Bombyx mori: one gene and its partner. The protein of the gene in region 2 interacts with the protein of the main gene of each other region in a pairwise test. Links are inferred from orthologs where the notes say so. Each region holds a gene or a part of one and is shown on either strand. Other genes may lie near its edges.

Region 1 (12,312 bases), on a different chromosome or scaffold from region 2:
TCAATTACCTGACCCCTCTCCCATTGAATTAGTTTAGGATGAACTCGACAGAAGGGTAAAAAATTGATCACCAACAAACTCAGCACATTTGTGGCAATTATTGGAGGGCAAGTAGAAAAAGTTTGATTAAGAATATTTTAAGAAATTAATAGAATGCCTAAAATATGCACGAAGATGAAGAAAGAAAAGGCGAAACACTTCAATATGGCTAAAGTTTAAGTGAATATGTTAATTTTTTTTAATTTTATTTATTTATTTATGTACACACAAGAAGAGTATAGAACAATGATCATTCGGCATCATTTTTATTTATATGCGTTGTTTAATTTTTAATTTAAAGGATTTTAATAAGTCTAATGGCAAATCATTTATATGCGATACTTGCTTTAATTTCCCAACAAATAAACTTAATTCACAGCTAAAATGAAGATTAAAGGATTTGATCACAATAATATTTATTTATATAGCTCAATCTCGCGTTTATTTAATTTGTTTTAAAATCTATCTTAACTTTGGAACACCACAGTTACATGACCAAGGCTTTTAATGTTCTTCTTTTTTTATTTTTTTTTATTGCCCTTGTAGGCAGACGAGCATACGGCCCACCTGATGGTGAGTGGTTACCGTCGCCCATGGACTTCAGCAATGCCAGGGACAGAGCCAAGCCGCTGCCTACCGCTAAAACTTACTTGTGTCCCTGATGCGCAAAATGTCTAAAGACAAAATGTGACATAATGACAAAGTTTAAGCAATTAGCATTATGATTATTATTAAATTACAGCAGATAGCATTATGATTATTATTAAATTACAGCAGATAGCAGAAGAAGGTCGCGAGGCGGAGGCTAGTGCACCGGCACGCCGCGCGCCCACGCGGTCTCCGCACTCTCCTCACTCCCATAATCAACGATGGATGAGGGCTGCAGGTATATTATTAACACCTTTATTACAGAACAGGCTTCGGTCCGCCGCGGTACTTTCAGCTGGTGCGGACGAAGAAAACTGTCCCTGTCGCTGCTTTTTTTTTTTTCTACCTAAGCTGAGAGCCTTGAGAGGCTATATCAGCGTAGCCTTAACTAGTAGTTGAGCTCACGGGGCTTAAACCTGATGACGTTGCTAACACGAACCCTAGCAAGAACCGTGCTTCGCAGAATCTACCACCGGATCGGAAACGCGACCCACTGAGAAGATCTGGCGAGAAACTCAGTGGGCTGTGTCTGAGGGGCTCTACTTGTACTTCTTCACAGAAGTACTAGAATTTTTTTGTTTATTAATATTGTATCGAATTTCTACAAATTCATGAAATACAAATAACGTGCCCGGAAATACAACAATGAATACGGAATTCGATCGCATGCAGTTGTTCAAATATTTCATTATTTGCAGACAGCGAGAGTGGCGCACGTGGACGCGGTATGCGATCACGAGGACGGCCGTCAAGAAGACCTCACAACTACATGAGGTTTTAAACGATTCTAGAATAAGCTAAAAACAATATCGATTTTTATAGCATAAATCTTGATGTAGGTTCCAGATATATAAATTCAATAACAAATTTCGAATTACTTTTAATATACGGAAATGTAACTGCGGTGTTTAATTTCATTCTTTTTTATTTTTGTACGCCTTACTACGCTATATATACACTTAGATTGATTTCATTTTTAGAATTCCAGCAGAAATGTTTATATTATATCGCTATTTTCACTAGATAATATTGAGAAATTCCAGGTGGCGAGCAGATATCTGATTAATATTTAATTTTCCTATGTTAGAATTAATATTTTTAGGTAAGACTCATTTTCTAAATGATAGAAGAACTAATTTTTGGCTAGTGTTTTATTTGTATGTTATGTTCAGATATCCACTGCGCAAAGAAAATTTAAAGATTGGTTTATAGCATGAGAAGCCCCATAAATAATTTTGTTTGTTTCTTTACCAACTAAACTATTTTAGGTAGACTATTACTATTTGAGCGATATATCTTTAGTGATTATTATTTAGTTAATGTCATCAACGAGATTGAAGCCCAATTTAAAATGAGTATTAATGCTAAATATTCGCCAATTACCTGTACAAATAAACCCCAAACTCGTTTGTGTCAAAAACTGAAGCATCCACGTATAATACAAATGGTTTATTTGCTATAACAGTTAGTGTTATTAATTATTATTATCCGTAATATATATATAAATATTTACTTAGACTATTTCCATATTAAACTGTTTAAAATAATTAAAAAGTTTCATATTAGATGGGCTAGTAATTTTATTGCTGTTACAAATTAGTCCAAAAAAAACGTTGAAGTACCTAAGTGTCCATAAAATATTTCCATTTAATTGTAATTTCCTTTAGTAATAAATGTGATGAAAATAAAATGTTTTAATTTTAACCATTTCCCAGCTGCATAAAATAAAATTGTAACCACAGATCGAACCATAAGTGAATTAAGCATATAAATCATTTTGACCCAGAAATTCATTAAGGAAACAATGTTATGATATAAATCAATTAATTGTAGCAGAGATAAAGCCACGAATTAGTAAGTCTTTTTTATCTCTGTTGCAAAGCAACTTACCCAAAACCAGAAGGATGGTATTCCACGCATCTGGTGCAAATCAAACATGGATCGTTCTCATAAAAGAAGTCAATGAATAAAGATTATGATGAACTGCCAGTGAGGCCACACCTGGCGCATACCTGATGAAAAATGCTTACCTTATATCATTGCTATTATCTAGTACAAAGATATAGCCAAACCATTACTATTCACTATAAACTTCAATTACCATTTCACAATGTGGGGAGATCATTTCATAAGTTTATCAGTAAAAATCGTTACAAATCTTTCCAAAGACCTTGGTGTTTCAAACTGTTCCTAGAACCAAATGCACTATCTGAACAACAGTTCCCTCTGGAAAACTTAAGTGTTCACTAAGAACAGCCACAGTTGATATTTTTTTAAGCATAAGGCCTATGATGAGTTTAGACAAGAAGGACATCCATCGGTCCCCAAACTAGAAAGACGACACTTTTTCTGATTCTCCCATTACAATTTGTCAAATTATTAATCAAAAGCTGGGTAAGACCTAGAGCACCCAATATAGAGCTAGGAATAGTACTTCAGTCATCTAGAGTAGTAATATCCTCATCTTATTATAGTACTTAACCATCCACTAATTTCTTATTTGGAAAGCAAATCTAGTATACCATTCCTATGGGAAGTTGAACCTAGGCTGTTTTTAAAAATATAAACATAGTCTACCAAAAGTCTAACTACTAACATAGATACATGTTGTGCCAACATGAACTGGTTGTCACTTATGTATTATAGATATCTTAACTACTTACAACAAAAACATTTATAATAGCAAAATTATTATGGAATTTACCAGTTCTTTCCTTTGTCAATGACTAGTTTATAGCCACTGTGATTAATAGACGTTGATAGTATTGTAAATTACTATTAGGGGTAGTATTAGTAACAAAGTAAAATAATTTTATGGTTTACTTTGAGATTTAAAAAAAAATTACAATATTTGTGTCAAATTGTGTTTTCCAAGTTAAGATAACAATGCTTTTGTGTGTAACAAAAACAATGTGTTAGGTGTTTCAAGTGATTAGAAAACATTCATCATTGTTTTGAAAATATCATAGTTATATTTTAGTGTAAAAGGTTTAAATAAATCACCAAGATTTGCTTTTATCTTTTATTTATTTTTTATTACAGCAGTGATGACACTCAACCAAAACAAAGATGTGAAAACAAAGCAATCCTTTACTTGCTTGAAAAGTTTTATACTATTCATATGAAGACAAATATAGTATTATATGCCAATTAATAATAAAAAAATACCATAAAATAATACACAATTTTAATCTAAGACTTAAATTAAATTTCACCATATGGTCAGATAGTGTAAAACTATTTGAAAGTGAATAATTTGGAATTAATTTCCATAGACATTTTCGTCGGAAAATGCTATGTATAGAAAGAAATCTTCATCATGGTGTTCTTGGTAGAGAGACCCCATTGTTGCAGATGTGGGTGGAATGACATTGTTCACGAAGAAGAAAAGTGCGTCTTCAGGCCGCAGGTGAATACGTTTCCGGATCAAGAAGTAGAACTGGCCAACTGTTAAATCAGACGGAACTAAATACTTCTTTTTGTCGAGGTCTCCAAGCCTAGCCTTCGGCGCTTTCTCTACAATTACAGGAACGCGATCTGGATATTTCCTGCGGATTTTTTCGCCCTCAGCCTTTCTCTTCTCAAATGAATGTTCTTCTTTGTATTGGAATTTCATGTTGATATTTTATAACACACTGCAATTTCAGATGATCGAATCGTAATCAACTTCTCAATCTACTGCGCCTTGTTTTTTATTTTTGCGTTATTTGACTCTAGTGACGCAATCAGCTGTTATGACAACCAATTATCTTGAATTTTCGACATACGGTCTTTTAAGCCACCTAAATAAGCTTGTCCGCTTAATGAAAATACGCCCTGCTATTGTGTTAACGCGGTGCTGTGCTATTGGGTCTGATAATTTAAATTGAAAAGTACTACTTAATTATAAAAATAAATAACTGATATGTTACTAATTTACTGTCTTCATGCTCTAAATATCGTTGCGGCGTCTTTCGTGTAATATTATGGGTTAAAGTAAGAAATTGGCAATTTATACTGATTTTTTTTTTTTTTCATTTACCCTATTTATTTAAATCAATATATCTACAGTTATTATTTATACATTGCTGCCATCTAATAGGAAGGTCATTTATGGCTTTGCGATAAAGCTCTGGTGATCTAGATTCTACAAACTGTGTAAAAGCATTTGTACTGCCTCCTGGGAAGAGAACTTTTTATCACGTAGAAAATTGTTCAAATTACGAAAAGATGGTACCTAGTCCGAAATATATAGAACTTATTATAGTCTTCTATTATAACTAGCGGCCCGCTCCGGCTCCGCTCGGTCCTTTAACAAAAATTTCAACGATATTTGACGTTGCTTTCTTTTTTTAAATAAAATAACACTTATTGCGGCATAACTATAATAGTTAGACATACGCTGTCGCGACACTTTTTGTAAATAATAATGTGTTCTACAATGTCGTAGTACATTATTTTATTTTATCATCAATAGATACTAGTGGTACATTATTTTATTCTATCATCAATCATAGTTTTCGCAGGGCACACGGTGTCAAGAATATTTTAGGTAATTTTTTTACACTTTGGATTACATTATTGGAGTTTTGGTAAGGATTCATATTTTTTTTCAAAAAAGATTATAACCTATGTCACTCGGGAATAGCGTAGCTTTCAAACAGTGAAAGAATTTTTCAAATCGGTTCAGTTTTTCCTCTTTATAATATTAGTATAAGATTAGTAATTTCATAATCAAGTAAATAGTTGATTCATATTCATATATTATGATAAATATTTATTGGCGCCTTCCGCTTGACAGCTTTCGGCGCAATAAAACTTTAATGTTATTTATGTTATATAATTCGATATTATTAAATAACAATTGTACGTCAATAATCAGCAGAATAATTAAGATAAACAATGTTTAATATTACCTATTATGTTTGTATTAAAATAGGTCAAGATAATTGTATAAATACCCTCAGACACAGCCCACTAAGTTTCTCGCCGGATCTTCTCAGTGGGTCGCGTTTCCGATCCGGTGGTAGATTCTGCGAAGCACGGCTCTTGTTAGGGTTCGTGTTAGCAAAGTCGTCAGGCTTGAGCCCCGTGAGCTCACCTACTAGTTAAGGTTACGCTGAAATAGCCTCTAAAGGCTCTTAGCTAGACAGGAAAAAAAAATCTGTTTCATTCGTATTTTACCCTTCGCTAGAAGTAACAGTGTTCTGTGATTCTACCAAATATATTAAGTGTATAATCTATGATTCTACCCGTCGCACAGTGGGTCGATACTATGATTTTAGTGACTTAGGCACCAACTTTGTTTTTTTACATTTTTCTTTATGTAGATAGATAGAGCTCGTTAATCTAAATAATAATTGTTTTAGGCAAAAATTACAAAAACTTTATAGTTTGGTCAGAAAAATGTGTTTTGTGATTTTTTTGTATGGAGCGGGTCACATTAAATTAAATTCCTGCTAAGTACCGCGAGGTCCCGCTTTGAAACTTTATTTTCCTTACACCTTGTCTAGTCTACTATCATTTGATGCTATGAACATGTGCATAAAGTTGCAACTCTGCCAAATAAATGGATCGAAAAAAATGAATAAATACATAGAATAAAAACCTTTATATTTTTTTTCGTAAGTGCTTTTAAGTTAAATTTGATATGGATTAGTAAGTAAAAGCACGTAATGATACCCATAATCACATAATACCTAACAACAATACATTTAGTAGGTCTCTAATTAAGCAATCTCTCTAAGTTTTATATATTTTGTTTCACCATTCGATCTTTGGGCCAGAAGACAAAAGAAGATTGTGTAAAATATCCTCATTAGTCGACGTTCTACTTATTTTTCTAGAAGAACAACTCTCTGTATATTTCGAAAATCTTTATTGAGAGCTTCCGCTGCCTCTTCCGAGAGCTTACCTATTCGAATGGCACCAAAGTTCTTCATTATTGTATATCACCGCCATGAGCCATCAATTTATGGATACTTAAAGGCATATAATACCAGGGATATAAATTAACATACAATTCTGCAGTATATCTACAAAATTCGGAAAAATTGGAAAGGTCCAGATGCAACAGTCTGAAGAATCACGTGAAACCTCTCCATTCAATCTTTACGTATTCCTGTTATGCGGGCTGTTCCTTCTGCATCCCTAAAAAATCTTCTGGCAGTATTGCCATCATTGGTTGTTCCTACTTCTTGCTTGACAACATCTATAAGTAAACCGCATTCCTTTTTAAACGCTTGCTGTATAGCGCTCTTTCTGATTGATATTTTTTCTTTGTCATCCCCCCTTGCAACCCCATTTCTTGAAGTCCAAACGATAAGAGGCAAACAAAAAAGTGTCATATAAAAAATAATCTCACAGGAAACTACATACGATGAAAAAATTATGAAGTAATAAAATTATATTTACCGATATGAAGTAAGCACTCCATGCATCTTATCCAGGCATGTAAAGATGGCATTCCATACTGGAATATTTCTTCATTATTTTCTCTTTGACAAGCAAGTGTCTCCAAAGAGCCCTGACAGTTTTGCTTTGCAAATATCACAGACAGCAGAAAATGTTTCTGACAAATATGAGGTTATTTTGCCGTCTGTCATCGTTAAGTGTAATTGATGATTCACTTCAACTTGTTTGATTTTTGATGGCTGAAGTCTTTCTATTTCTTCTGTTATGCTAGCTTTTATAATTGCCACTGTTGACTGCGTTTCTTTTGTAAATTTAAACATTATTGGATGGCGATAAAAAGTTGATTAGGGTAGATCGTTTTCCCAAACAACTGTTCCATCAAATTTCTGAAGCCTTATAGGAACTAGACTGACCATGAAAATAGATGAATCATCAAACTCTGTTTCAGTTTTCTGTTTATAATTACTTTGACCTGGGGTTCTATCAAAGCCTATTTGCTTATAAGCAATAGCTCTCTTGCTGAGTCCAAATCCGAAGTAATCACATCTAAAAGCCTATATAGCGCCAAGCTTAGTAATGCTTGCATTTTAATAGCAGCTCCTTCTTCAGTAATAATTACCTCGTCTTTCCCTGGATAACATTTGGTCTTTTCTTGCTTAATTTTATATTAAGAAGGGTATAAATCAAACCCATTTTCACTTGCTGCTTCTCTTAGGCTTATATACTGCCACTTACTTAATTTAAGTGAAACTAATAGTGCCTTATCGGGAGAATATGTACTACTTTTCACTTTACTTGTACTTAAACACTCCTTAACTTTTTTCTAAATCTTCGGGGTGATTTGACAAGTGGTTCATTATTTCTCCTATATCTTCATTTCCAGTGTTTCTCAAACTAGCAATTGTAGTAGCTTTCATTTCATCCGGGGATAACGAAAGCGATTGGTAAATTTGTTCAATGCGTCTTCGTTTTTGCCTGGATCCCAATTCTTCAAAAGGTTTTCGAGGTGTAAAAGTAGATGTCGAGGCTTCTGTAGTACATTTGAGGGTGGTACATTTCCAACATCTTCAGTATTAGAAATCTCATGCCTTTCCTGTGCAGTGTTGATAGCTTCAGGTATCATTCCTTCGAGCCAGTTTATTGCACCTTCTAACCAATCACATTTTTTTCTTATAAACTGTGCTAACATGCGACTACTTCGTTTTCATATTGCACTTATATTTGAACAAAAGTGCGTCCAGAATTTTTGGAGCTCAATACTTTTCTCTTCGGTCACGTTTATTTGATTTTGTAGGAATTGAAAGAGTTTTTTATTATCAGAAAGCGACTGTAGTTGCTCTCTTAAAATCATAAATAATTCTAAATTGTTAACAAAATTATTCATTATAACGGAAAAAGGAAGATCACAACGACAATCACGAGATGTTAGTAGTAGTACGAATAAATGAACACTAGTTAGTATATAATAAACATGGTCGCTTTATACTTCCAGAGACAAACAAATATTTACTATATTTTTTACTGCCCAGTAATGGCTGCTTAACTAGTTATCCTCATTAAATAATGTTAACTATCCTAATAATTAGAGAGATTGCTTAATTAGAGACCTACTAAATGTATTGTTGTTAGGTATTATGTGATTATGGGTATCATTACGTGCTTTTACTTACTAATCCATATCAAATTTAACTTAAAAGCACTTACGAAAAAAAATATAAAGGTTTTTATTCTATGTATTTATTCATTTTTTTCGATCCATTTATTTGGCAGAGTTGCAACTTTATGCACATGTTCATAGCATCAAATGATAGTAGACTAGACAAGATGTAAGGAAAATAAAGTTTCAAAGCGGGACCTCGCGGTACTTAGCAGGAATTTAATTTAATGTGACCCGCTCCATACAAAAAAATCACAAAACACATTTTTCTGACCAAACTATAAAGTTTTTGTAATTTTTGCCTAAAACAACTATTATTTAGATTAACGAGCTCTATCTATCTACATAAAGAAAAATGTAAAAAAACAAAGTTGGTGCCTAAGTCACTAAAATCATAGTATCGACCCACTGTGCGCCACCCTGATGATCCTTACAAGCGTAGTCACTTCAAGTTTTTTTTTTCATAATTAATTGTTTCGTTTCATTAAGTTAGGTACGGTACTTATGTGCAATTGTGTCATTCTGAATTTTATATTTTTTTACAATTATTCAATTAATCGTGTTTATAAATAAATTCAAAATGTTCTCAACTATTCAACTATCACTGTTACCCTTAATCTACGTGATCTTCTTAAAAAAATTGTCGATGCTCTGATTTGGCGATCATTTTGTTGGTACAACTTAATTTAAAAAAATCATAAATAATTTTAATTAAGGGGCATTGTAAATCGAATTGAATGACAATTTTTGACTTTTTTTCAAGAATCAATTGAATCGGCTTTTTTCTATTCAATTTAACTATATCAAATTACATATTTCCTTATGCCGGCCACTGACATGCGCGCAAATATTCGTACATTGTACGAATGTTTGCGCGCATGTGAAGGGCCGTCAAACATTAATTCGCAAACCTAGCGGCTGTGCAAATGGGTTCGGTACTCAATTTGCGAACCCGTTTGCGCTTCCTCCCACACTTGTTTACGAATGTCTCACGAATTTCTCCTTTTTAATTCGTCAATAGAACATTGAAGAGAAAAAGAGTTTTGAATTCTTTCCCAGACATCATTAACAGCCATGCTGTTTTTATGGGATTTCTTTTGATGAAGATACGCTACACAGTAGACGTCACGAACTATGAAAATGGCGTATAGTATACGTCCGTTACCTTCGCAATCGTCGGTGCAACTGGGCAAGCGAATGTGTGGGAGACTACGCGAAGGCTCGAGGTTCGCGCGCTTTGATGTCTGTTAAAAACCGACATAACTTGGAAAACCACGAATGTAGCGAAAACTTTGCATAATCATTTGCAAATGTCGTCCTACACTTGCGGGTTTGCGTATTCGTGCGCATGTGAGTGACCGGTGTTACATAACCCTCTAACTTACTTATCTTAAAGTATCAACTAGTCTAATTAAAAAAAAACCCGTGAAAGCACTATCTAATCTAAAAAAAGAAGACTAATAGCTAAATCCAACAGGTGATATAATATGTGAGTTTAATAAAGATTTGACTGATTCTGTGGTGCAGTATTTGGCGCCTCCGAATGTTGCGCCAAGGATCGTGTGTTCGATTCCCATATTTGGTAAACATTCGTATTATGAACAAGTTTGCTTGCTCTTTGTCTGAGTTGTTGTTATTGTCTATATATGTTTAAACTATAGCAGTCTTAGGTTCCTATAGTAAGTACATGGAATCCTAATTTCGAACTGGATGACTGTGAGTGACTTGTTCCCGGTTATTATTTATTTATTATTACTTGAATCGGTGATGAAGCAGTTACGTGGAGAAATTCATTGAAGTGAATCACTGAAGAAATCCAGTTCACGTTTTTTAACGCCAGATTTTAATTTATTGCGGCCTTAAAATTTAAAAAATGAAATGGCGCGTAATAGTCTTTCGTTTCATATTAAATAAATAAATCAAGTCCATTTCATTACATGACGTTATGGCATTTAATTGCAGAAGTTGATTTATCTGAATTAGTAATCAATTAGTGTGAAAATGAATGAAATTAAATGTAGTGAAATGAGACGAAAAGAAATAATATGTGACTTTTTGGCGAGAATGGTTTCGTTTGTTTATGGAGAGTCGGTAAGGAGCTTGTTGTCTGTGTTTTAAACAGGAATTTTTTTCGGCGAAAAACTATCTGTTAGGGTGGCGCCACCTTATTCAGCTTTATTTTCACATACTTGTGCACTTTCACAAATCGTTAATAAGCCATCATTAATACAAATATAAACTTAAATAATAAACACTGAATTAAATACATTAAAATAATAGACACGACTTCACTCTTCGCGTTCCCGCCAAAGTCAGTGATTGGTTTATTTTGATAATCTATGATTCACAGGGACTTGAAAGACTTGAATATTATTCAGGGACTTTTTGGCGGGAACGCGAGGAGTGAAGTTGTGTGATTTTTTTTTTCTATTTAGTGTTTCTTTAGGTTTAAATGTGTAAAAACGGTGGTTTATTGGCTGTTTAGTATCTGTGAAAGTGCACAATTTATGTGGGAAAATGAAACAAAGTCCCTATCTCGGTAAATGACCACAATTTTACTGAGATTTATACTTATACTTTCCGTTTTCATTTCATTTCATTTCTATCATTTTTCCTAAAAAAATGTTTTAATTAACATTAAAATAAGACCTGACCTAAAGGTCTTAGTTACCAGGTCATAAAGTTCCTTAAAAAAAAGAATATTATTCATAGAGTGCTTGGTCTCTTCGATACTTCGATATCAACTATTATTTATCGACTGGTAACACACAGCGTCTCCCGATTATTTCATGAAGTGAAGCACGAATATTGGCTTCCCCAAAAGTAAAATCCGATTAGCGTGGGTCTGTCTCGCTATCGTACTTTTTTCGTACAATACCCATAAAGAAAATGAGAAAACGTAAATCTTTAAAGTTAAACGAAGAAGATTCGGATGGGTCAGGGCAGGGCGCTGAACCAGAAGAATTTCAGGACTCTGGTGAAGATTGGACGCCGGACGCCGATTCGGTATGTTCCTTTGCTTCGTGTTTATTTTCCTACCAAATTACACTTACACGGTGTAATTGTGTCTGAAAAACGATGCCTAACATGATAATAAATAATAGTTAAGAATATGGACGCATCCATTGTAAGTCACCAATTCAGAGGTTATACAAATAAACCTATTGGGTATAAGATGTGTTTTCATTACAATCATAAATGTTAATAATATTTTCTTTGTAGGTAGGTACCTCATAATTATAAACTAATATTTCCAGAACGAACCTGCATCTCGTACTGGCAGAAAACGTGTATCAAAGGCACCGGTGAACAACACCAAAAAGAAACGTAAAAACTCATCATCTGAAGAAAGCGAGGGTGAAGGAGAAGAGGATGAAGAAGCCGAGGATGAAGAAGGGGAACTTGATGAAGAAGAAGGATCTGATGATGAGAAAAACGGATCCGATGGAAACAAATCTGATTCAAGTCAATCGAAAGATGTACCAAAGCATTTCCATGTAAGTTTTGATTTTGATGATTGGCTGGTCTGTCTGATTTTTGAGTATTTTTTCAATTCTCAGAGTGCATACATGTTT
Region 2 (12,454 bases):
TTAATACATTTTATAAAATAAACGTGTTTTTTCTTGTCCCGAAACCAACTGAGGCAATTTAAGCTAACATCGACACTAAATACAAAATTAATATCTCAAAATAAATAGGAGAAACATAAAATTGAATAATAGGTTAAGGTTAAATAATCAATTCAAAAAAGTATAGCATGTGTAAGTACATGTAGATAACTGATACATATTGTAATTGAATTTTTCCCCAAAAATTCGGGAATTTATAACTTCTAATTATCGATCTTGGCTTGACAAAATAGTCGATAATTTTATAATAAGCTGAGTGTGCTCAGATATTAATTTCCTGTGCTCTTTCCTCTTTTTTGCCTCCGGGGCTATGCTAGAGCTTCATCGAACTTTTAAGCGAGCCATGGTGCTCAGCCTGGGAGAGTGCTAACATCTGCGTCTTCCGCCTATTGCGTATTGATATCTGTCAGAACAGTTGTGTGCGTCGGTGCTACTGTCTTAATTTTTCCCCTGGAAGGATTTAGTTCTAAAGTAACTGGCCCAAGATCCAGGTAACATATATGTGAGTTCATCCGTCCGTCTATGTTCTTAAAAAGAACTCAAGTGTACTATTCAGCACTGGCAATACTAGCATTAATGGGAAACGATTTGCAATATACAAAAAAAAATCAGATCTAAGAAAAATTTAAATCTGGTAAACATTACATTATTACAGCTAATGAACTTTAGCATCTGTTAACGTGTACAACTGAAAAATGCCACAAACACGTTAGCGGCGGTTTATCGGGCTCTTCCAACAAATTAATTTACGTAACAATAAATTCCTAGTATTTAAAGGGACATTTTTATATTATATTTAATTTGAAATACATAAACTTTATTTTATAATACCCACTCACTAATAAAAAAAATATATAAATAAGAATTTCGGCTAAAAGAGTAAAATTCAGAACAATAGAAAACAAAAAAGAACAGTCAGATCAATAATAAATATCGGACAATTTTGGACAACAGACTTAGCGGGAAAGTATAGTCTCCATTTAGTGTTTCGTGTAGTTTAAATGTATAATAATAGTAGACTATTAACCAATAAATACTTTAGAAAATGAAAAATGTGAGGAAATCGGAAAAAACACGCTATGTTGTTCTTGGTGTTTTTACAAATACTTTGAAGTCTAAGTTAATTCCCGCCACTTTACAATTGAAACAGGCTAAAATGTTGAGTAGCAAATGGCCGTAAAGAAGTTGTATAAAAAAAAACGAGACATTGAATTTGATTTTGATTGGGTGTATTTTTATTGTATACAAAAAATACTGCTGATCAAGTGTAATAAACGTGTTTAATTAAGCCTTCTACTGTGTAAATAAGTAATTCTGACGGGGACATGGAAGACGAGATAGAAGACAGAGTATTACATCAAACGTACGTTTCTTTTGTAAAAATATTGTCTAGATTCACCAGTAGCACTTTTCTTGACGCTCCTGTGAGCTATTTATGGAAAATGGTGCGTCTTTATTTTCTGCGATCTGAAGTAGTTGTGATCACACTAGCTATTGTGATCTTCTTAATGTATCTTCAAAGTATAGAATTATGGAGTCGAACAATGCTAAGCAGACTGTCGCAAGCGATGAATCCTATGAGCGCTGTTCAACGAATGAAACTCATGGAGGGATCCGATGCAGACAAGCAAAGTTGGGAACTGAAAGGCACGTTAAGTGCTGCTTACGCAATCAAAGGTAGAAGAATGCACATGGAAGATAGATTTATAATAAACGAAAATGTAAACAACACAGGCATATCACTATTCGCTATATTCGATGGACACGGCGGAGAGTTTGCTGCTAACTATGCCAAGGACCATCTTATACAGAATCTTTACAACAAAATTGTTGAACTTAACGCTTTCAAAGAAGGTAAAATATCTGATATATCTAGAGAAATTATTGAGGAGTATGCACCTAAAGAGGAAAATGTTGAACGTAAAACAAGCTTCAAAAAGTCAGTTAGTACTGCAGATGATACATCAAAAAAAGAAATAACAGATCCTGAATTGCTTGCCCAGCTTTCTAAAGCAAGGCCAATCATTACCCGAGAAGTGCGGACCACAACTAAGCCAGTTAAGAATATCAATATACCATTATCTAGTTATATTGACAAAGGAAAAATTAATTATGGAAAATTATTGACTGATGAAGTTTTAGCAGCAGATAGATTACTAGTAGAAGCTGCAAAGAAGTCTTTGAATGTTGCCGGCACTACAGCCCTTATTGCAATAATGGAAAATAATCATCTGATAGTGGCCAATGTTGGTGACTCCAGGGGAGTCATGTGTGACTCGAGAGGCAATGCTATTCCTGTCTCGTTTGACCATAAACCACAACAGGTAAATGTAATTGCTATCCCTCATACTTAGAACTGTTAATATTAGTCAATAAATAATGTTATTAAAGCAAATATTTAAGATTTAAATGTAATGTTGTAATTTCAGGTAAGGGAACAAAAAAGAATTGAGGCAGCAGGAGGTTACATTGCTTATAATGGAGTTTGGAGAGTTGCAGGTATCTTAGCTACTTCAAGAGCTATGGGTGATTACCCACTCAAAGATAAGAAATTTGTCATAGCAGATCCAGATATACTTACTTTTAACTTAAATGATCATAAACCTATGTTCTTAGTCTTAGCCTCTGATGGTCTCTGGGACACGTTTACCAATGAAGAAGCTGTGAAATTTATTAAAGAAAGACTTGATGAACCAGATTATGGGGCAAAAAGTTTAACACTACAAGCATATTATAGAGGATCAGTCGATAATATTACAGTTTTGGTCATAAACTTCCTAAATACCAATATAACCATCGCAGGAGTTCAGTAGAAATTGTAATTTTATTCCTTAGTTTAGATCTTCGTAAGAGATTTCAAGGTACATTTTTCACAGTTTTCTAGAAATTTTATGCCTGATAACAATTAGGTCTCATACTTGGAGCAATTTGAACAATTACAGCAATTGAGAGCCATGATAACTTATAAAGAATACCTTCTGAAAAGTTAATACAGTATCTTACCATGAATACATAGTGCATTTGAAGAAGTATTTATTTGGAATCTTTCCATCCAGTAAAAAATTTATACTATTTTCTAAAAGATTACCCTAGTGTTTTTATATATACATATATTGTAAATAAATAAATATGCAGAGGACAAGTAATTAATGACTAAAAACCCCAAAATTAAAAACATTAATGTGGCAAATTTTCTTTTGTGTGAAGAAACATATTAATAAAATAAGCATAATATACATTTAATGTTTTATGAAGTTGAAGGAGGATAAATGTATTTTTACTAAAGCAACTATTCTGAAAATAAAGTTTAAAGAAAATGTTTTTAACTAAAAAGTAAATTTGTTACTTAGACCAGAGTAACTTATATTTTATAATGTCGGATGTGCATGTACCTAATTATATATTTTTGAAATTTAATATTTGAATTTATGGATGGTTGTGAAGTGTATGCAGATTTTCATAAATCTATTTGATGTTATTGATGATAAGATATTCTGAAAAAAAAGTTGTTCAACAACATTAGAGATAAATTGATGCACATTATCAGGTGTCATATTTGTGTACAAGTAGTTAATAATATATAGTATGAAAACAGTTGTATGATAATGAATGTTGCAATAGATATAAAAGAATGCTATAAAAATGCACTTTTTCCTAAATTTATTTCTTATATAATAAATATTTTGGACGTTTATATTCATGAAAGCCATGATATTTTTCATTTGATTGTCTGAAAAGTACATTAACTACAATATTCAACTTTATTTACAATATATAATATTTATATAATCGTCTGAATTTGCTAAGATAGGTAATTATTTTTGCTCTTTACTAACACTGTTGTTATGTTGTTGAACTGTAGTTATTATTTTGGCTAAGTAAAAACAATGCCCCCATAATTATTATGTTGCCTGTGGTGCTAGTCATTTTTTTTTTTTGTTATTTTTGTTGTTCGTAACTTTATGCAAATATACCATAGGAATAGTAAACAGTGTGAGTAAGATTTCCATAAAATCTTAAATTACTTATCTATGTTGTCATCTCAATAGGATTATGAAATTCATTGGTGTCAAATAAAAAAATGTATACTGCTAAAATTATTTTTGTACTGCAAACTGTGTATTGATTATTGCTGACCTCATTGGAAAACCTTCAAGTGTTGCATGATCAAAAGGTTATCTATGACTTTTCTATCTTTGGCATGAATCATACATAAAATATATTAATTCCTCTATCGCGGTAATGAGATGTAATTTATGGACTGCAAATTAATACTAGTTGGCTGCGGTGCGGATTTTGTTCCCCGTGACTAGTTTTTCATAAATATTTTATTTTCTATTGTGGACTTATCAAAAACATTACCGAATCGCTTAATCGTGGACAGATTTTACACAACGAACTTTTGGCGGATATTTGATTAAAAAAGTACGTACATAAAAAGAACCAGTTTTTTTTCTGATCTAATAAAGTAATCATCTTACCGCGCTACATGGAACTGGTTAAATTTTATCAAACTTCTCTAGATACATGCCATAGGTACCGCACCTTGCCACTTATCTACGCTGGGTTTTACTATGGATTAGTTCAATCCTTTCGACAATATTTACCAAAAAACAATTTTAATACCCAACGCCTTATCGCCATCATCATGTATATGTATGTTGGGAATGAATTTACTTTTACCTAGATTTTATCCTTAGCAATTAAATATTACAGGCTTTTACTCCCGTATCTAATTGACGAAAATGGAAAGTGTGCAAGCGATCTATCGGTTAGTAGGTAAACTAGGTGAGCGCAAAAAAACCCATGTGCGTACCCGCATAAATATATTTTTTAACACAGTTTTATCTATAAAGACCATTAACCATAGTAAGAAGATTTATCCTTAAAAAAATTCAAGTATTGTTATTTCCAAGTATACTATGCCTAATGATAATGAAATCTTTGATTACCTACTAAATTCTTTCGTCCCTGTTTGAAACTCATATTCAGTCTACCTCGTATCTACCAAATAAAATCGTACCTACCAAATAAAAGAAAATAATTTTCGATAAATGAATGTGGTAATTTTAGACTTGTTTTATTACAAAATAAATAATCATTAACAGGTATCATGTAAATAAAACACAGTTAAAATATTATTTCCCTTTAATACAAAAATATTCAGGTCTTTGGCAGTTATCTAAGTTATACAAAAATGTTATAGTACATTTGACTCATTTTCTCCATTATTTAAATATCTACATTTTTACACTGCCGAGTAAAACTTTAGAAATAAAATAATGCGACACATAAATATGTAAAACAAACATTGTAAGATGTAATTAAATAAAATGAACGGCAATTTCTTTTATCTAATAATTAACTAAAATTACAAATCATGGGAGACACAATGCAGCAAAGCGACGTATGTAACAAATAAAAGAGAAGATCCGAGTTATAATAATATCAGATGCTTATTATTGACTAGACATACCTAAAAAAATAAAATAAACCATAATATAACTACGATTCCGAAATTAGGAATGTTATAATTTTATCTAAATTACAAGTCACTGTTGCGTTTAAAGGCACTGCAAACTATCCAACAACAGCTTATGCACTCGGCACTAAGAAAATACGCGTACTACGATTTTATAATATACTCTAGTACTTACTTTAATATAGTGCTGTCGTCTTCGTAAATATAAAATAACGTTACAAAGTTTACAATTATTCTATCAAAAATCCATCGTGCTAAATCACTCAACAGTTTTGGCATTCTCATTATGTTAATATTGAAATAACGACACACAGTGCGAATTAAAATTGCAATGAACAAATTAATAGTTTAAATAACCGTATCAATTACAAACGTAAGAGTGCCTGAATAAACTATAATAAATACCATGTCTCGATATTGCATAACAATTACAGGGTAATTAGTTGCAAACTTTTTGCATTTACCCTGATAGATCATACGTAGAGGTTATAGGAGTAGACTCTTCATAACCTCCAAAAAAAAATATGTTTTATACTCGATTTAGGAATTACCGGGTTGAACCAAAAATTCTCCAAATTTGGTGTGAGTTGTAAACTCTAAAGATAAAACTAATAAGAATTTCTATTAGTTGTCAACAAATAAATTATAATAAATTTTAAATGATATAGCATTTCAAATATTGTATCTACCCGTTCCAGGACAATATAATTTAACAATGCAAGTTTCATATTTTAAATGACCCTTGTTTATAGAATTGTATCTCTTTCCTTACCGACGAACAGGACAAGACCTCGGTCTAACAATTTTAAGCTCAAGGTGACGTCGTGTCCTGAATAGGAACAAAACAGCAGCCATATTATTTAACTCTTAATACAGATTTATGCAGAAGTAAATAATAATAATTATTAATAATAAATAATACAAATATATAAAAAAACCCACCTCTGGTTTAGGAGTTACACGAAACCAGATGTTATGTGAGTTAATTAAAATCAGAAGACTCAAATGATGATTTGGTTCTATACATAATCAGCCGACAATTAATAGCAAAAAGATTATTCAATGAAAGAGCCTACCACGTTTATCAGAAAAATAATCTGCTTATAGTTCGTTGAATTGTTAGTTTAGTGATTACAAAAAAAAAAAGCGAACCTCTGACAAGGTTCGTAAAAATGTCTTTTGTCTTAGTAAATACTCTTTCGTAATGTTCAAATTACACAATAAGGCCACATTATCTGCGTTTTTCAAAGAATTTCGAATTCTTCATCCGAGTCGTCAAACTGTCTGTCCACGTCTTCAAACTCTGGAACAACAAGTACAAATTTAGCAACAACAATCACTACATAGTATAAAACAAAGTCGCTTTCTCTGTCCCTATGTATGCTTAAATCTTTAAAACTACGTAACGAATTTTGATGCGGTTTTTTTAATAGATAAGAGTGATTGAAGAGGAAGGTTTATATGTATAATAACATCCATTAAATAGTGAAGAAAGCAATAATAAATTACAGTTTCCGAAGCGAAGCGACGGCAGGTCGCTGGTTTAAGAATAAATAAACAAGAACAAATCCGAGTTTACCCGTAAAGAGTGAAGTGCTTTGAAAGTCAATGTCGGTTGTGTTCGGTCCCCAATGCGACGGTCGTTTCTCGCATATTTCGAACAATGGTTGGCTTTCTTTCATAAACTCCTGTTCTATAGTTTCACACAGCTCATAAAAATCACCTCTAGTACGACAAAGGAAACACTAAAAAAATACATCGAAAAAAAAACTTTAATTATTTATTGTAGTGTTAGCTTGGTAAGTTGATAGAACATACTTAAACTTATTTTCTTTTAATTGCTTTAATTGGAAATCATACACAACAGTAATGCCGTCGTTCTGACGCATGTCTCAGTTGTACTGCAATGACATTATCAAACAGGAAACGATATATTATTATCTTGTATGTACATTTTTTTTAATGTCCATTAGGGCAAACGATCATGCAGACTACTTAATGGTGAGCGGTTACCGTCGCTCATGGATATCAGGAAAGCCAGGGGCACAGCTAAACCGCTGTCTTGTTTCGAATAACCGGCCCGAAATCTGAACATCGCCATAGGTACAAGTACCTCTTAACCACCAGGGAAAGTACACTTCAATTTTTTTTTTCCTACCTAAGCTGATAGCCTTGAGAAGCTATATATCAGCGTAAACTTAACTAGTAGGTGAGCTCACGGGGCTCAAACCGGAGTGATGCTAACACTGACCCTAGCAAGAGTGCTTCACAGAATCTACCACCGGATCGGAAACGCGACCCACTGCGAAGATCCGGCGAGAAACTCAGTGGGCTGTGTCTATGGATTAATTCGCTCGTCGAGTCTTTCGTCGCGACGGGTTCGACGCGGACGGTAACCGGTGCTTGTGGTGCCTAAAAGCACCGTTAATTAATCAGGAGGATCCGTAATGACGTGCTTTGGGCGACGTCGACGGTTTACCATTCGGTTTACAGGATCGGGTATGTAGTTTCCAGCGGCCACGACAAGAGGGTTCTCATGTCGTGCCGCCTTCTCAAGTGGCGCATTCAAATTATGATAGCCCGATATTCTCCTGTTAGTTAATGTAATGTAACCCTACGTTGCAACGCAATCAATAGCTTAATTTGGTACTAGTCGAATTGGTATTTAAAAAAATTATCACTTACCACCGCCACTGAAGGATCCATGGAGAGGATAGGTATTCGAGATGCATATTTACAATGATATGTACAGTCCATTTCCTTTTGATCGTCAGTAATCTTACTCTAAAAAGATTAAATATTTTTTATCTATGTACTTAAAATAATTAACGGTAAAATCTTTTTAAACTGGTGGTCATCGGACACGGCCAACAGACTTCACTCAGGCAGGGAATCTGAAACTCGCTTAGATGGCGCCACATTGAGACCTCGACCACATGTTATAGGGGGGTTGGTGACATTCACGTTGTGATGTCTATAGGCACAAAAATACAAATAGCACCAGATGGGCTTATCCAATAAAGAAAATACATTTCTTTACTACGAAAACATGTTTCAGTACATTAAATTAAGTATATAAGTAATTTATAATCTGGAAAGTGGGACTGCATACATAGGTTGCCACTCATGCGAATGTCTGAGCTTTGGCTGCTAATCTCAGTTTTGATGAAAGCTAAGAGACATGTGTTCATGAGGGCTCATGATTGATAGCCAATCAAAATTTACATACACAAGTAAAAGCAAAGTACGTTAGAGGAAGTCTGAAAGTGGCACCTGTGACAGAGAAGCTGAGGAGTGCGCGTTTGGGATGGTATGGACATGTGATGAGACGAAATGAAAATGAGGTTGTTAAGAGAGTGTTGACTATGAATGTGGAAGGATTTAGAGGAAGAGGTAGACCTAAGAAGAAATGGATGGATTGTGTGAAAGACGATATGGGTAGGAGGGGAGTGAGCGAAAAAATGGTATATGATAGAAGAGTATGGAAGGAGCAAACATGTTGCGCCGACCCTAGGTGACTGGGAGAAGGGCAGGATAATGATGATGAAGTAAAGGCAAGTAATACATTTCTAGTAGTTTATTTAAAAAATATATCTGAGGATGGGATAACAAAGAACAAGTGTAAATTTGTATGAATGATTATTAAGTCATTACCTCAACTAATCCAGACCGTTGAGTTGTATGGGGATCTAAATAAATAACTTCATCTTCAACACAACCAATCAGGTACAGAGCTTGATTTGGTTTGCCTCCTATGACTCCAATCGATTGCGGACATTGAAAGCACATCTAGGGAAAGATATGCATTTATTTTAATCTTTATAAGAACATTTCCTGATTTTTTTACTGTTATAAATATATGTTACATGTGATATAATAATAAAATTTAAATGAGTACACTTTCTAATGCAAATGTAAATTTGTTTTTACTACTCAAAAGTTTTTTTTTTTAATTTAGAAAAAAGATTTAGTTAAGTGAAAAAGTCCCGGTTAAATGGTTACCGGAATTCATAGACATCTTTTTTTTTTTTTTTTTTTTTTTTTTTTTTTTTTTTTTTTTTTTTTTTTTTTTTTATTGCCTTTGTAGGCAGACGGGCATGCGGCCCACCTGATGGTGAGTGGTTACCGTCGCCCATGGACTTCAGCAATGCCAGGGGCAGAGCCAAGCCGCTGCCTACCGCTTAATACTCTCCATAAGCCTCGTTTGAAGAAGGACATGTCATAGCGCTCGGGAAACACCGTGGAGGGGAGCTCATTCCATAGCCGGATGGTACGTGGCAAAAAAGATCTCTGGAAACGCACTGTGGATGACCGCAGTGGCTCCAGGTAGTATGGATGAACTCTACTCCGGTGGCGGGCGGTGCGATGGTAAAAACGAGATGCTGGTATCATCTCGAACAATTCCTCAGAGCACTCCCCATGGAACATACGGTACAAAATACAGAGGGAACCGAAGTCCCTCCGCAGACCCAGAGGCTCCAAACGATCCGAGAGAATGGGATTATCGACAATCCGAACGGCCCTCCTCTGTATGGAGTCAAATGGAAGAAGCTGGTATTTGGGAGCCCCGGCCCAGAGATGGGAGCAGTACTCCACGCGAGGCCGGACTTGTGCTTTATAAAGCAAAAGTCTTTGTCCAGGCGTGAAGTACCGCTTCGCTCTGTTGAGGACTCCCAGCATTTTGGACGCCAACATCTACAACATAAACGTCTCCACCCACCTTGAGACGTGAGTTCTAAGGTCTCAGTTTTAACAGTACAACAGCTGCCCCACCCTTCAAACTGAACGCATTACTGCTTCACGGCAGAAATAGGAAGGGTGGTGATACCTACCCGTGTGGATTCACAAGACGTCCTACCACTAGTATTAGTAGTAAGGAATAGTGCTCTGAAAACCACACCTTTAATCCATTTACGTAGACAGGATTAATTTCGCTAAGTCCGAGCCGCAGTGGAACTATTAACAATAGAGGCATCCAGTCTGACACCACACCGTCAGGCGCTGAAGAAGTGTCACCTCTATCATTGTTAACTAAACATTGTTGCACTGTAACAAAAACGAACAGATTACAAAGACAGAATGTAGGTATTATACAATTTTAAATCAAAAGATATTAATGACAAATAGTGTTCGCCCAATTGTGGAAATTTGGCTAAAATCTTTTACACCTCAACATTCTAGTTCTAATGTACTTACTACATTTCCCGTTTGTTATTCACATTTTGAAGTAAAAAAACTTGCTACTAAATAAATAAATAAATAAAACTATTGATAACACTAATCAATAGCAACAATAAAAAATATAAAATATATATTTTTTTAACAAACAGAAAACCTTAATTCTTTTATCAAGTAGTTGCAGCTCTTAAGAGTGAGTTTGGCCATCCTGTCAAATTTCCTCTACAAAGTAATACTGTATCAATTCAAACTCAGTGTAATTGTTATACATCTAAATCTCCTATCCTAGAGTTATGATAGCTATATAATTAATTAATTAACAATTAAACTACAAATTATTTGGAAAATAAACAAATTGTCCATAATGCTTACAGATATCTTCCTTGACAACAGTATTATCTAAAGCAACATGAATTGCTAATGAACTCCACTTGTCATACACAGTCAGTTTTCTGAAAACATACCAATTAATGTGTAATGTATTTGATAAAAATTAATTTTATTGTTGTACTTCATTAGTATTTTTTTTTATATTTACAAATATATTCCATAAACACAGAGCAAACAAAGTATTGGGAAAAAACAATTCAGTGCTAAATTTCCTTTATATCACCTCTTAACCTTTCACACCTAAAGAATTCGAGATTTTTCATATCTCACCTTTAATTTTGGAATACTATACTCACTTTAAAACTTGAGCGATTGTATTAGGTCCAAACCACTGGCCAACTTCTTTTCCTTCAGAGGCACCCATCAATGCCACTTGATGGATAGAATAAGGTGCTTGTTTCCTTTCTTCAAACCTTTGTATGATCTTTAAATAAGTTGGATCCCTGTAAAATTTTATATCTTCACATTTTTTATAATTTATTCAATAATAATATAAAGTGAAATAGAGACCTTTCACCATTAGCTACATAAAGGTACACAACATTAGAAAAATTAACTCCATTTATTAAAAGAAATTGCAAGAATTCAACAAGATACTAATTGATAAAGAAGTATTATGAAAATTAACTATTTTGCAATCATTTAAATACAATTACCTTGTTTCTGGTGACCATACCCAGTCAACAGATAAGTGTACTCTGACAAGAGCAACACCTAATACCATCTGTCCACATCGTAACATACAGCCCCATCCTTTATCAGAAGTCAAACCTTCATCACCAATTGGTACAAAGCCTTTTCTGTACGTACACCATATTATTGATGTGATATCTCTTCTAATACGATCCAAATCTGTGAACATTTATTTTCTGTTTAATTTTATTTAATCTAATTAAATGTGGAAAAATGTAGTATTGAAGGACAAAAGGGAGTGCAATGTTGCTGACGAGGATGTCCAAGAAAAAAGTAATTTTATTAATGTTATATTTAATCTAATAAAAAAATATATTTTATTACAGACAGATATAAAGATCTTATAAAAAAGTGCATCATTTCACATTCCTTTCCATAGTGTAAACAAAAATTAGTTAATTTTGTGTAAAAATACAATATAATTGCATACTACAGCAACAATCACTATGCACATTAATTGCACCAAATGTAATATGGGAATATATTAAAACAATAAAATATATTTAGATAAAAAACATGATATGAATTGGAATAAGATACACATCTACTGTGAATGGAACGTAAAATGTCAACTTTGACGTCTACCTTGACGAATACTTTTTTTTATAGAAACTAAAAAAATATATCTCATAAGCCATGAGTTTTCATAACTTGAAATTTTACAAAAAGCTT

Evidence for each region.
Region 1: the proteins of cysteine protease ATG4B (region 2) and Atg8 interact in binary tests that used the Caenorhabditis elegans proteins (3 or more experiments, as listed by UniProt). The link is inferred for Bombyx mori from reciprocal best matches to the Caenorhabditis elegans genes atg-4.1 and lgg-1.

Annotation. Positions count from the first base shown.
Region 1 is NC_085117.1:12,317,053-12,329,364, forward strand, and holds Atg8 (autophagy related protein Atg8), read right to left. Parts: upstream 4,401-12,312; 5' UTR 4,304-4,400; coding exon 3,950-4,303; 3' UTR 3,696-3,949; downstream 1-3,695. Other genes in the region: nucleoprotein TPR, read left to right, coding at 814-925, 1,386-1,468; uncharacterized protein LOC101738996, read left to right, coding at 11,627-11,743, 11,995-12,234. UniProt on the Caenorhabditis elegans protein: Ubiquitin-like modifier involved in the formation of autophagosomal vacuoles (autophagosomes). When lipidated mediates tethering between adjacent membranes and stimulates membrane fusion during autophagy. Recruits lipidated-lgg-2 to maturing autophagosomes.
Region 2 is NC_085110.1:6,050,108-6,062,561, reverse strand, and holds the end of cysteine protease ATG4B, read right to left. Parts: intron 11,942-12,454; coding exon 11,746-11,941; intron 11,533-11,745; coding exon 11,386-11,532; intron 11,152-11,385; coding exon 11,072-11,151; intron 10,568-11,071; coding exon 10,422-10,567; intron 9,311-10,421; coding exon 9,176-9,310; intron 8,306-9,175; coding exon 8,207-8,305; intron 7,267-8,206; coding exon 7,101-7,266; intron 6,825-7,100; coding exon 6,766-6,824; 3' UTR 5,170-6,765; downstream 1-5,169. Other genes in the region: protein phosphatase 1L, read left to right, coding at 1,365-2,363, 2,469-2,852. UniProt on the Caenorhabditis elegans protein: Cysteine protease required for autophagy. Cleaves the C-terminal amino acid of ATG8 family proteins lgg-1, to reveal a C-terminal glycine.